3 linked regions of the Cricetulus griseus genome follow. The protein of the gene in region 2 interacts with the protein of the main gene of each other region in a biochemical or structural test. Links are inferred from orthologs where the notes say so. Each region holds a gene or a part of one and is shown on either strand. Other genes may lie near its edges. The genes, in order: Rad51, Rad51ap1 and Dmc1.

The links.
Region 1: the proteins of Rad51ap1 (region 2) and Rad51 form a complex in vitro, tested with the Homo sapiens proteins (6 studies listed by BioGRID and IntAct). The link is inferred for Cricetulus griseus from reciprocal best matches to the Homo sapiens genes RAD51AP1 and RAD51.
Region 3: the proteins of Rad51ap1 (region 2) and Dmc1 form a complex in vitro, tested with the Homo sapiens proteins (2 studies listed by BioGRID and IntAct). The link is inferred for Cricetulus griseus from reciprocal best matches to the Homo sapiens genes RAD51AP1 and DMC1.

The regions. Positions count from the first base shown.
Region 1 is NC_048599.1:59,354,266-59,357,868, reverse strand, and holds the end of Rad51 (DNA repair protein RAD51 homolog 1), read left to right. Parts: intron 1-1,981; coding exon 1,982-2,111; intron 2,112-2,283; coding exon 2,284-2,405; intron 2,406-2,957; coding exon 2,958-3,081; downstream 3,082-3,603.
Region 2 is NC_048601.1:19,527,678-19,531,329, forward strand, and holds part of Rad51ap1 (RAD51-associated protein 1), read left to right. Parts: intron 1-2,290; coding exon 2,291-2,377; intron 2,378-2,735; coding exon 2,736-2,954; intron 2,955-3,652. UniProt on the Homo sapiens protein: Structure-specific DNA-binding protein involved in DNA repair by promoting RAD51-mediated homologous recombination.
Region 3 is NC_048595.1:376,761,115-376,764,766, reverse strand, and holds part of Dmc1 (meiotic recombination protein DMC1/LIM15 homolog), read left to right. Parts: intron 1-89; coding exon 90-134; intron 135-1,701; coding exon 1,702-1,848; intron 1,849-3,652. UniProt on the Homo sapiens protein: Participates in meiotic recombination, specifically in homologous strand assimilation, which is required for the resolution of meiotic double-strand breaks.

The sequences.
Region 1 (3,603 bases), on a different chromosome or scaffold from region 2:
TTAAGAGGGGGCATTGTTTGGTTTGTGGTTTTTGTTTGTTTGGGTTTGGGGAGGTAGTTTAAGACAGGGTTTCTATGTGCAGCCCTAGCTGTCCTGGAACTCCACTCTGTAGAACAGGCTGGCCTTGAGCTCAGAGATCCATCTGTCTCTGCCCCCCAAGTACTGGGATTAAAGGTGTATACCAGTATTGTCCAGCTTTGTTTGTTTTTAATGTAGTGATTTTTTTTTGGTTTGTTTGTTTTTAAGATTTATTTTTACTGATATGTGTGTTTCTGTGAATGTATGCCTCATGTGTGGCAGTACTTACAAGGTCAGAAGAGGACTAGGACCCCCTGGAGCTAGGGTTACAGGCCATTGTGAGCTTCCCAGTATGGTTGCTGGGAAACAAACTTGAGTCCACTGGAAGAGCAGAAAGTGATCTTAACTGCTGAGTCATTCTCTAGCCCCAAGTTCTTTTCTTCTAAAAATATTTTTGTGTGCCTGGTGGTTCAGTGGTGGTGTTTGCCTATAATCCCAGCACTCTGGAGGTAGAGGCAGGCATACTTCTGTAAGTTCAAGGCCTGCCTGGTTTACAGAGCTAGTTCCAAGACAGCTAGGGCTGTTACATAGAGAAACCCTGTCTTGAAATAAGCTCCTCCCCCCACAAAAAAAATTGTGTGTATTTTGTGAAGGACCTGTGTAAGTGTTTGTGTGTACACACTCATATGTGATGTGGGCATGCATATGACTTGGCTCATATGTGCAGGTTAGAGGGCAGTTTTGAATATCAGTTCTCACTATCTCATTTGAGACAGCACCTCCTCATTATCCTCTCCTTGCATACCTGGCCAACAAGTCCACAGGCTTCTAGAAACACTTCCCTTCTTGTTGTAGATGCACTGAGATTACAAACACGTGCTACGTTGACTGGCTTACATGGGCTCTGGGGGCTTAAACTCAGGTCCTCCCACTTATAGACAAGTCCTTTACCCACCATGCCATCTCTGCTCTTCAGTTTGTATTCTGGCACAGTTGTTTATGGTTTCAGTGAAAAATGAAGCTATGGCTGGAGGTATGGCATTTTTTTTCTAAATACATGAAGCCCTTTTTAGTCTCAAGTGTTGTGAAAACCAAAAAACCCCAGAGTTACTTTTGGTCAAGTCAGCTGTGGTAGTTTAAATGTAGCTTCCGGGGGTGGCACTTTTAGGAGGGGTGGCTTTGTTGGAGTGGGTATAGCCTTGTTAGAGGAAATGTGTCTTAGTTCACTTCCTGCTGCCTGGGGATCAAGACTTTCAGCTCTTTGTCCAGCACCAAGTCTGCCTGTGTGACACCATGATGATAATGGACTAAACCTCTGAAACTATAAGCCAATTTCAATTAAATGTTTCCTTTGTAAAAGTTGCCAAGATCATGTGTCTCTTCACAGCAATAGAAACACTGAGACATCTGCCAAAAACAAAACAGAAGATACCCACAAAAGGGCTTCTCAGATAGGACATTTTAATAAAATAAATGTGAATGTTTGCCAGGTAGCAGTGGCACACGTCTTTAATCCCAGCACTCAGAGGGGACAGAGGCAGGTCTTTTTTGTTGTTGTTTTTGTTTTTTCAAGACAGGGTTTCTTTGTGTAGCTTTGGAGGCTGTCCTGGAACTCACCACTCTGTAGACCAGGCTGGCCTCAAACTCACAGAGATCCACCTGCCTGTGCTTCCTTAGTGCTGGGATTGAAGGTGTGCGCCACCACCACCTGGCAGAGAAACCCTGTCTTGAAAGAAAAAAAAGTATGTGCTTGTGTTTAACTAGGAAGTCGGTGTCAGTGGCTCTTATGTTTTATCCTAGCACTTGGGAGACTGAGACAGGAGGATCATAAATTTCAGAACAGCCTGGGCTACATAAGTAACAAACCCTAGAGTCAAAAAAAGTGGAAAATGTGCAATATATGTCAAATTTTAGAGTGGTGGGGAAGGGAGAAGATTCTGACAAAGAATTGTTTTTCTTATAGATATGCACTGCTTATTGTAGACAGTGCTACTGCCCTCTACAGAACAGACTACTCAGGTCGAGGAGAGCTTTCAGCCAGGCAAATGCATTTGGCCAGATTTCTGAGGATGCTGCTGCGACTTGCTGATGAGGTAAGCTGTAGTAAAGAAACCAAGAATTCAGTGGCTACAAATTGTAGGAGCCTCCTGAGGACATTAGTACCTTATATTATTAAAGATGAGCATTAGTTAGCCATTGCTTTGTTGTGAGCATTAATGTTTTGGTATGTCTGTGGTCCCAAACTGACATTCTTTCCCTTATCAGTTTGGTGTAGCAGTGGTAATCACCAACCAGGTAGTAGCCCAAGTGGATGGAGCAGCCATGTTCACTGCAGATCCCAAAAAACCCATTGGAGGAAACATCATTGCCCATGCATCAACAACCAGGTGAGGCTCTCTGGGATGGGTGTCACATACACTATGATGATAGACATAAAGTAAAACACTTCCACTTCAGCCCTCTTAATGTTGCTACAGGATAGACACTTAGGAAGCCTCACTAAATTTGTTGTGCAGATGGAGAGATGGCTCAGTGATTATGAGCATGTTCTGAGCTTATAAAGAACCTGAGTTCAGTTCCCAGCACCTACAAGTGGCTCACAACCTCCTGTAACTCCAGCTCCAGAAGATCCGACAATTCTGGCCTCTGACAGGCACCTGCACATAGCCACATACAGACACAAAGCACCTGCATATAGTAAAATCTCTCACTTGCGAGGAAAATACATGAATATTTGATATGCCTCCTTAATTATATAATTATATAATAATGTTTGCTTCTTCAAGCTTTTCAATAACGGAGTCATGGCAGAAATGGATTCCTCTAAAAAAAAAAATCCTATAAATCCTTTTAGGAAGTTACACATGTCTGTAACAGTTAGTTCTGTCATGGGAATAGCAATGTTTATAACTTGGTGTTTTGGTCTGTCTTTGGGTCAGGCTGTACCTGAGGAAAGGAAGAGGGGAGACCAGAATCTGCAAAGTCTATGACTCTCCCTGTCTCCCTGAAGCTGAAGCCATGTTTGCCATTAATGCAGATGGAGTAGGAGATGCCAAGGACTGAATCATCAGGGCCTTTTTTCTGTGATAATCTTTTAAATGCTAAATAGCCTAATGAAGAGGACTGCTCTCTGGGCTTCTTCAGGGCTCTTCCTGATGTGACTACCGGAACATGGCTTCCAGGAAAAACAATTATTGTATCAGCTTTCTGGTGGCAGAAACAGGAGACAGGTCAGTATTCAAACTGATCTGATATGTTCATTTTTTATAGAGTATATTTCTTATAGAGTATATTAATGTCTGATTTCTTTGGTGTTTGGAGGAGAGATATGAAATAACAGCTATCAGTCTTATGTTTCAAGAGAAGTAAAGCTGGAAAGACCTAAGTTTTCTCTCACTTCTCAATAATGGTAAAATAAAATGCCTGAGATGTTTAACAGTGGGAATTGGTGTTTGCCACATTCTTTTTCTCTATATGTAAGATGCAAACTGTAAAATTATATGACTGAACTCTCACATAAAAAAAAATGTTTTGGTTAAGGAGTCTTGCATGAGGCATCAGCTATATAGTGCACCTTGTAGCATT
Region 2 (3,652 bases):
CCCACACATACATTTCTTTGCTTGGCACATAAAGGAGCTTGGGACTTACTCTGTGACAGCAGGATGCTATGCAGTAAGAGTCCAATCTTGATCAAATGATCTGTACAGTCCTAACACTCCAATTCCTTAGCTTTTAAATCTAAATTTCTTTCTTTTTTTTTTTTTTAAGATTTATTTATTTATTACATATACAGTGTTCTGCCTACATGCCAGAAGAGGGCACCAGATTGAATTGTAGATGGCTTTGAGCCACCATGTGGTCGCTGGGAGTTGAACTCAGGACCCCTGGAAGAACAGCTAGTGCTTTTAACCTCTGAGCCATCTCTCCAGCCCTAAATCTAAATTTCTTGAATGTGACCTAATGATGATAATTTATGTGACCTATTAAGATTAGAAGCACCAACCTTCATAGAAAGTTCAGTAGACTTCAGGGTATGACTTCTAGATTTCTCTGTGATTTTTCACCTCTGAATTTTTTTTTTCTGTAACTGTGTAGCATATGATGATGTGGGTGAGTCTTTTAAAGTTATTTACTTCTTTAAAAATCAACCATTTTGATTGAGAAGACTATGAATCAGGAATCAGAAATTTCGAGAGTGTCATCGTATACTATATCTAAAATTAGGGGAACAGAACTCATCTCAAAAGACTGGAATGTATAGCAGGAATTTTTCTTAGAAGTAGCACTCATTGAGTAATGTTCTTCATCGCATAGGGACTTAATGTTATCAACATCATCATTTAAAGGTTCTCTAAATGCTTGAGACTGGTCTTGTTTTATGGTGTTAAATCTGAAATGCAGGATGCATGCACACTGTGTAAACTTTCTAACTCCTTATTGTTCTTTAGGTTGTAATGATTGGAAAGAGTTTGTATCAGTTTCTTCTCTGTTGCTGTAATAAAATACCATGACCAAGAGCAGTTTATAGAAGACAGTTTATTTTGGCTTGGGTTCCAGAGAGGTTAAGAGTTTCTAATGGCAGGGAGAGCATGGCAGCAGGTACAGGAGCAGAAAGATGGCTGATCCTATTCACACCCAGGGAGCTGAGAGAGTGACTTGGAAGGGGACTTAAGGCCTCCAGTGACTTCCTTCCTTCAGCAAGGCTCCACATCCCAAACAGTGCTGCCAGTGGGGCTCAAGTGTTCAAATATGTGAGCTTATGGGCACAGTTCTCATTCAAGCCACCACAGAGCTTAAATTGGCATGAGCATGATTTGTCCATACAGAAGTAATATTTATTGACTGTATTGGTCATAAAATAAGCAGTTCCCACTTGAATTTAATCTTCTGCAATAATCATATAAGACATTATCTTCTTATTATAGACAGGGAAATTAAATGTAGGGAAGATAAGCATGTTTTCATATGGAATCTGACTGTAAACCTGAATCTTATTTTAGAGCCCAAACTCTTGATATGTGCTAGCCCCTCCATGTAAAACCACTGGGCTGCTGTGAGTCTGGGATGGCTCATCCAGTCTGTGTGTTTGTATGTTCCAGTGTGTGTTTGTCTGTGAGTCTGGGGTGGCTCATCCAGTCTGTGTGTTTGTATGTTCCAGTGTGTGTTTGTCTGTGAGTCTGGGGTGGCTCATCCAGTCTGTGTGTTTGTATGTTCCAGTGTGTGTTTGTCTGTGAGTCTGGGGTGGCTCATCCAGTCTGTGTGTTTGTATGTTCCAGTGTGTGTTTGTCTGTGAGTCTGGGATGGCTCATCCAGTCTGTGTGTGTGTGTGTTTGTATGTTCCAGTGTGTGTTTGTCTGTGAGTCTGGGGTGGCTCATCCAGTCCGTGTGTTTCTATGTTCCAGTGTGTGTTTGTCTGTGAGTCTGGGATGGCTCATCCAGTCTGTGTGTGTGTGTTTGTATGTTCCAGTGTGTGTTTGTCTGTGAGTCTGGGGTGGCTCATCCAGTCCGTGTGTTTGTATGTTCCAGTGTGTGTGTGTCTGTGAGTCTGGGGTGGCTCATCCAGTCTGTGTGTGTGTATGCTCCAGTGTGTGTTTGTCTGTGAGTCTGGGATGGCTCATCCAGTCTGTGTGTGTGTGTTTGTATGTTCCAGTGTGTGTTTGTCTGTGAGTCTGGGATGGCTCATCCAGTCCGTGTGTGTGTGTGTGTGTGTGTGTGTGTGTGTGTGTGTGTGTGTGTGTGTGTGTGTGTGTGTGTGTGTGTGTGTGTGTGTGTTCCAGTCCGTGTGTGTGTATGCTCCAGTGTGTGTGTATGCAGTGGGCCATCCTCCTGCTCTTTAGACCCTGACTGACTGGGATGCATCTGAAGTTCCTTGCTTACTTCCTATGCTAGGCACTGACAGCCAAGGTGATAGGAAAACAGAAATATCGGATAAGTCTCCTCCTATCTCCAACTGCAGTGTAACCAGTGTTAATTCAGGTAAGTTTTGATGTTAATAACGGTTCATTCACAGTGCTATTTTTCTTACTTGTTTAAGTTCCTGTGCCTGTAGCTAGAACAAGGTCTTCCCATGTCCCAAGGTTCTCTATCCCCTGGCCTTTGTTTCTTTATGCTTTAGTCTTACTCTTTCTGACTGCACACCTCCTTTCTTCCCCACTGGACAGTCATGACCACTCAGGCCCTCCACTGCACAGCAGGTGACCACTCAAGGGCTGCATCTTCCCAGTACCATCTGGAAAATTCTTTGGCATGACTCTTTAGAGTCTCAGACTAACCCTTAAAACCAGAGTCTATTGCTGGGAGAGTGATAGACTTCATCCCAGCGTAACCTGTGTAGTGTGTTATTGGAAGCAGACGAAGACAACAGTCTACCCAGAGTTCTCACTGACGTTCCTGTCTCCAGAAGATTTGGACAAGATTGTGGAGGAGGAGGATGCCAGCAGTGTTGAAGGGGAGAAAAAAATAACATCTGAAGCTGAGGCTCCGCAGAGGAGGGTGCTCTCTGAAGACAGTGATGGCAGCAGTGCTAATGACACCGAGCCGGACAGTGCAACTGGTGAGCTACACCCCCCCCCTTCAAGCTCATTCTGTGGGGATTCAGTAAAAACTTTTTGGAGAGCAGGGTGTGTGCAAAGCACTGTGTTGAGCCTTTGACATCGGTAAACTCACAGAACAGTTAAGTTGAGCTCAGCCATAAAGAGAGAAACTGTGTAGGGTAACCTTTAACCTTCTCTGGACAGACAAGCAGCATTAGAAAAACCAAGGACAAAGTCACATTTCTGACTGAGGGAAAAGCATGAGCAGTGGGACAGACAAGCACATTCAGGGGGAACTCTTGGGAAGAGGCCGAAGAGACAGTCTGGTCCGCCACTAGCTGTGAAGCAACTCAACCTTTCTAACAGGTTCCAGCTTTTCTATAACTAGGAGAAACTTAGGAAGTATTTTGAGTTGAAAGTGGTATGAAACAATTTTATTATCAGTTGCTTGAAGACTTAGTAGAAATTAGGGCAAAGAGAAAATATGGTGACTTGGACAACATCGTAATGTTCAAAATCTAAAAGAAGAAGTCTGTACCAGTCAGATAGAACATTTTAGATTTTAACCTTCTGTCAGCTATTAACAGACCTGTTCATAAACACTCACTGAACAAATATTTGATGCCTATAATGTTTACTATATTCTAGTTGCTAGGCAGACAGTAATGAGCAAAACTGTTAAAGTTCTAATGAGGGGTCACAGACAGTAAATGCATAG
Region 3 (3,652 bases), on a different chromosome or scaffold from region 2:
ACTAGTGAATGAGTATTAGTCACTCCCCAAAATGTGAAACATTTATTTAGATATGAAGATATAAGATACATTCTTTCTATTTCATTTAGGAATCTTTTTTTCAAGACATTGACCTGTTACAGAAACATGGAATTGTGAGTAATTTTTCGGTACAATATTAAACAGTCTGTTCCATTTTCTCAGCTTTGTCCTTACCAGCCCAATATAATTATTTTTTGATGTTTGTTTGTTTTTTGTTTTTTTTTTGTTTTTTTTTTTTTTGTTTTTTTTGTTTTGAGACAGGGTTTCTCTGTGGCTTTGGAGGCTGTCCTGGAACTAGCTCTTGTGACCAGGCTGGTCTCGGACTCACAGAGATCCACCTGCCTCTGCCTCCCGAGTGCTGGGACTAAAGGCGTGTGCAACCACCACCCGGTCCCAGTATAATTCCTTATTGTGAAGAGGAGCTGTCTGTCTTAAGTTGTTTAGCAGCATTCTTGGTGTTACAGAACAATTTAATCTCAGTATATGAGAACTGACCCCCCACGGGCCAGAGATTGAAACAAAGAAGCAGTCAAATCTAAAGTTGTACAGAATATAAATAAGGGGAACTTACTAACAGAAATGTGGCCCTGGATGGCAACAAGCCCAAGGAGAGCCCAACAAGTTGAGTTAGAAGGATATATTGGCTAAAAGTGACTTCATCAAAGCTGGAATGGGCTGGTTGATCTTAAGCTAATACCAAAGAGACACACTCCAGTGCCTGGTAATAATAAAACCCCACACACCTCTCTAGTTGTTTGGTCTGTTTATAGTATGCTTGAAAATTATACAGGAAAAAGGAACAACCAATTAGTGTTACTCTGGGAAATCATGGAGTTACAACTCACAGATCTCTGTAGTCACATCAAACTGAATTCATACACCTGACCTCTACTCATGCATTTAATGCCAGTAGTACTCTACCTGTGACAACCAAAGATGTCTCTAGACACTGTTGAGGATTCCCAGTGTTTAAAAACCAATGGTTCAGCTGGGGGCATTTGGAGCATCTCTAAACAACCACCGCCACCCCTTGTCTCTCTAAATTTAACATTAGGTAGACAATGCTTTTATTTACAGAAAATCCTGTTTGTCCCAATGACCAGGGTAAATCATGGTGGCAGAAATGTAGACTATCAAAATTTGTGGATGTCAACAGCAATCATTGGTGTTAAAAGTTTGCTGAAGTTGTCTTCTGAAGTCTTCATATTAATCTCTTTCCATTGATTTTAGAAAACAAGCAGGAGAAAATCCCAGTCTTTTGATGATGTAGTTATTTGTGTTCTTCAGGAGCAGAAGGAAAAAAAACTTTGAAAAATGTAGAGAACATATTGGTAATGAAGTTCTGTAGAAGGAAGAGCTGAACTGAGGGGGTGAATGTGTGACAAATTTGCTGGCTTTTCCACCAACAGACTTTTCTTTTTAACTTCTTGCTACACTGCCATGGTCTCACTAACATTCTTGGGAAAATCAGGGCACAGCCAGAACATTTGGCAACCTGCTGGGTATGTTCTACTCTGATATTTCCAGAACATTTGGCTAAGTGGTGGGTGGGTTCCACCTGGTTGCTTGTGTAAAATTAGCATCATGATGGAAGGAGATGGACACGAAGCTCATGACATAGTACAGGAGACTTTCAGGCTGGCATTTTATCAATCTGCTATGCCCATTCTTTTATTTCAGAATATGGCTGATATTAAGAAACTGAAGTCTGTAGGAATCTGTACCATTAAAGGGATACAAATGACAACAAGAAGAGCCCTCTGCAACGTCAAAGGGCTCTCAGAAGCCAAAGTGGACAAGATTAAAGAGGCAGCCAACAAACTTATTGTAAGCCAAATTCATTTTTTTTTTGCTGTTTTAGTTTAGCAGAGTTGTCTTTGTAGCCTATATCATAAACACTAGAAACTACAATAGGAACCTTAAGTTCCTGTAGATCACAATATATTATACTCCCAGTGTTACCTGCTTATTACCTCAATCCCAAAGCCACAGCAATTAGTTTCTGGAAGTCTAAGGTAAGCATAGAAACATAGACTGGCCCTGAGATTCATTCCTAGAACCCACATGATAGAAATAGACACCACAATATCACCCCTAATACACACACAGTTAAACACTTAGAGTTAAAGTAATTAAAAATCTAAAAAGAAAATCTGGTTTTATTTTGTTTTTAAAGATACTTGGAATACTATTGAAGGTAATTACTTTACCAAAACTTTTTCTCTGCCGTGTGTTTGTTTTTATCTGTCCCCTCCTTAGTTTGGTCTTTTTTCTCATATATGCCTATAGCAGCTCAGAAGCTCAGTGTTAAAAGAATTTTCTCTTTCCTGGAATAGGCCAGGTAAGACAGCCCTGGATTGGAGAAAGATTAGCATCAGCTGGGTCTATGTGTGTGCAGCTGAAATAGATATAACCATGAATGTGTTCAATGTGTTACATGAATGAGGCAACCGAGTTCATAATCTATACCTTTCATTGGCACCATGGACTGAAAGTAGTCAGGCTGTCAGGAAAAGGCATATAGCCTTAGACCTGAATTCTCCTGTAGAGTTATGGGGATCATCAGAGGACCCTATTTTTAGTGTAGAAATAGGAATGTACAGAAAAGTAGTCACCAAGTAGCCCTCTCTACAGAAGACCAAGGCTTTCTATTTATCTGTATGTTGGCAGGTGTGTGTGGGGGCTACTTGCACTTAATGGCAACAAGTGGAAGTCAGAGAACAATTTTGTGGAGTTGACTCTCAACTTTGACCTTTAGTTGGGTTTTGGGATTGACCAAGGTCAAGTTCAAACCTTGCTCTTTTACCCAATGAGTCATTTTACCATCCCCCATAGTCATCTTATCTTTAAAAGCTAAATCTCGTTATTTGTGTGTGTGTGTGTGTGTGTGTGTGTGTGTGTGTGTGTGTGTGTGTGTGTGTGTGCAGGTATGTATGCATATGTGTACACATGTGTGGAAACCTCATATATAATCCCTTGGGCACCATTTACTTTTTTTGGGGGGTAGGGTTTCTCACTGTCCTAGTACTCATGAAGTCGGCTAGGCTGACTGTCCAGTGAGCTCCAAGAATCCACCTTGTCTGTCTCCTTCCTTCATGCTTAGATTACAAGTGCACTACTTTCTGTTTTCTTTACATGAGTTCTGGGGACTGAATTTAGATCCTTGTGCTTGCATAATAAAAGTTTACTAACTGAACTATCTGTCTGACCCCTAAATCTCAAGTGCATGTATGGTGTATATACATGTGTTCGGATACATGTGCCTATTGTGCATGTAGAGGCATCCTGGGTCTTCCTCTATTACTCTCCACCTTGTTTTTTATTATTTATTTATTTTTATTTTATGTACGTTGATATTTTGTCTGTATGATGGTGTCAGATCCCCTGGAGGTAGAGTTTCAGGCAGTTGTCAGCTGTCATGTGGGTACTGAGAATTGAGCTCAGGTCCTCTGGAAGAGCAGCCAGTTCTCTTAACTGCTGGGCCATCTTTCCAGCCCTTCTGCCTTGTTTTTGAGACAAAGTCTCTTAACAGAACCTGAGGTTTAGTTTTGGCTAGCCTGGCTGACCAGTGAGCTCCTGGGAGCCACCTCTCTTCATGTCCCAGTGCTGGGTTACAAATACAAACAGCCAT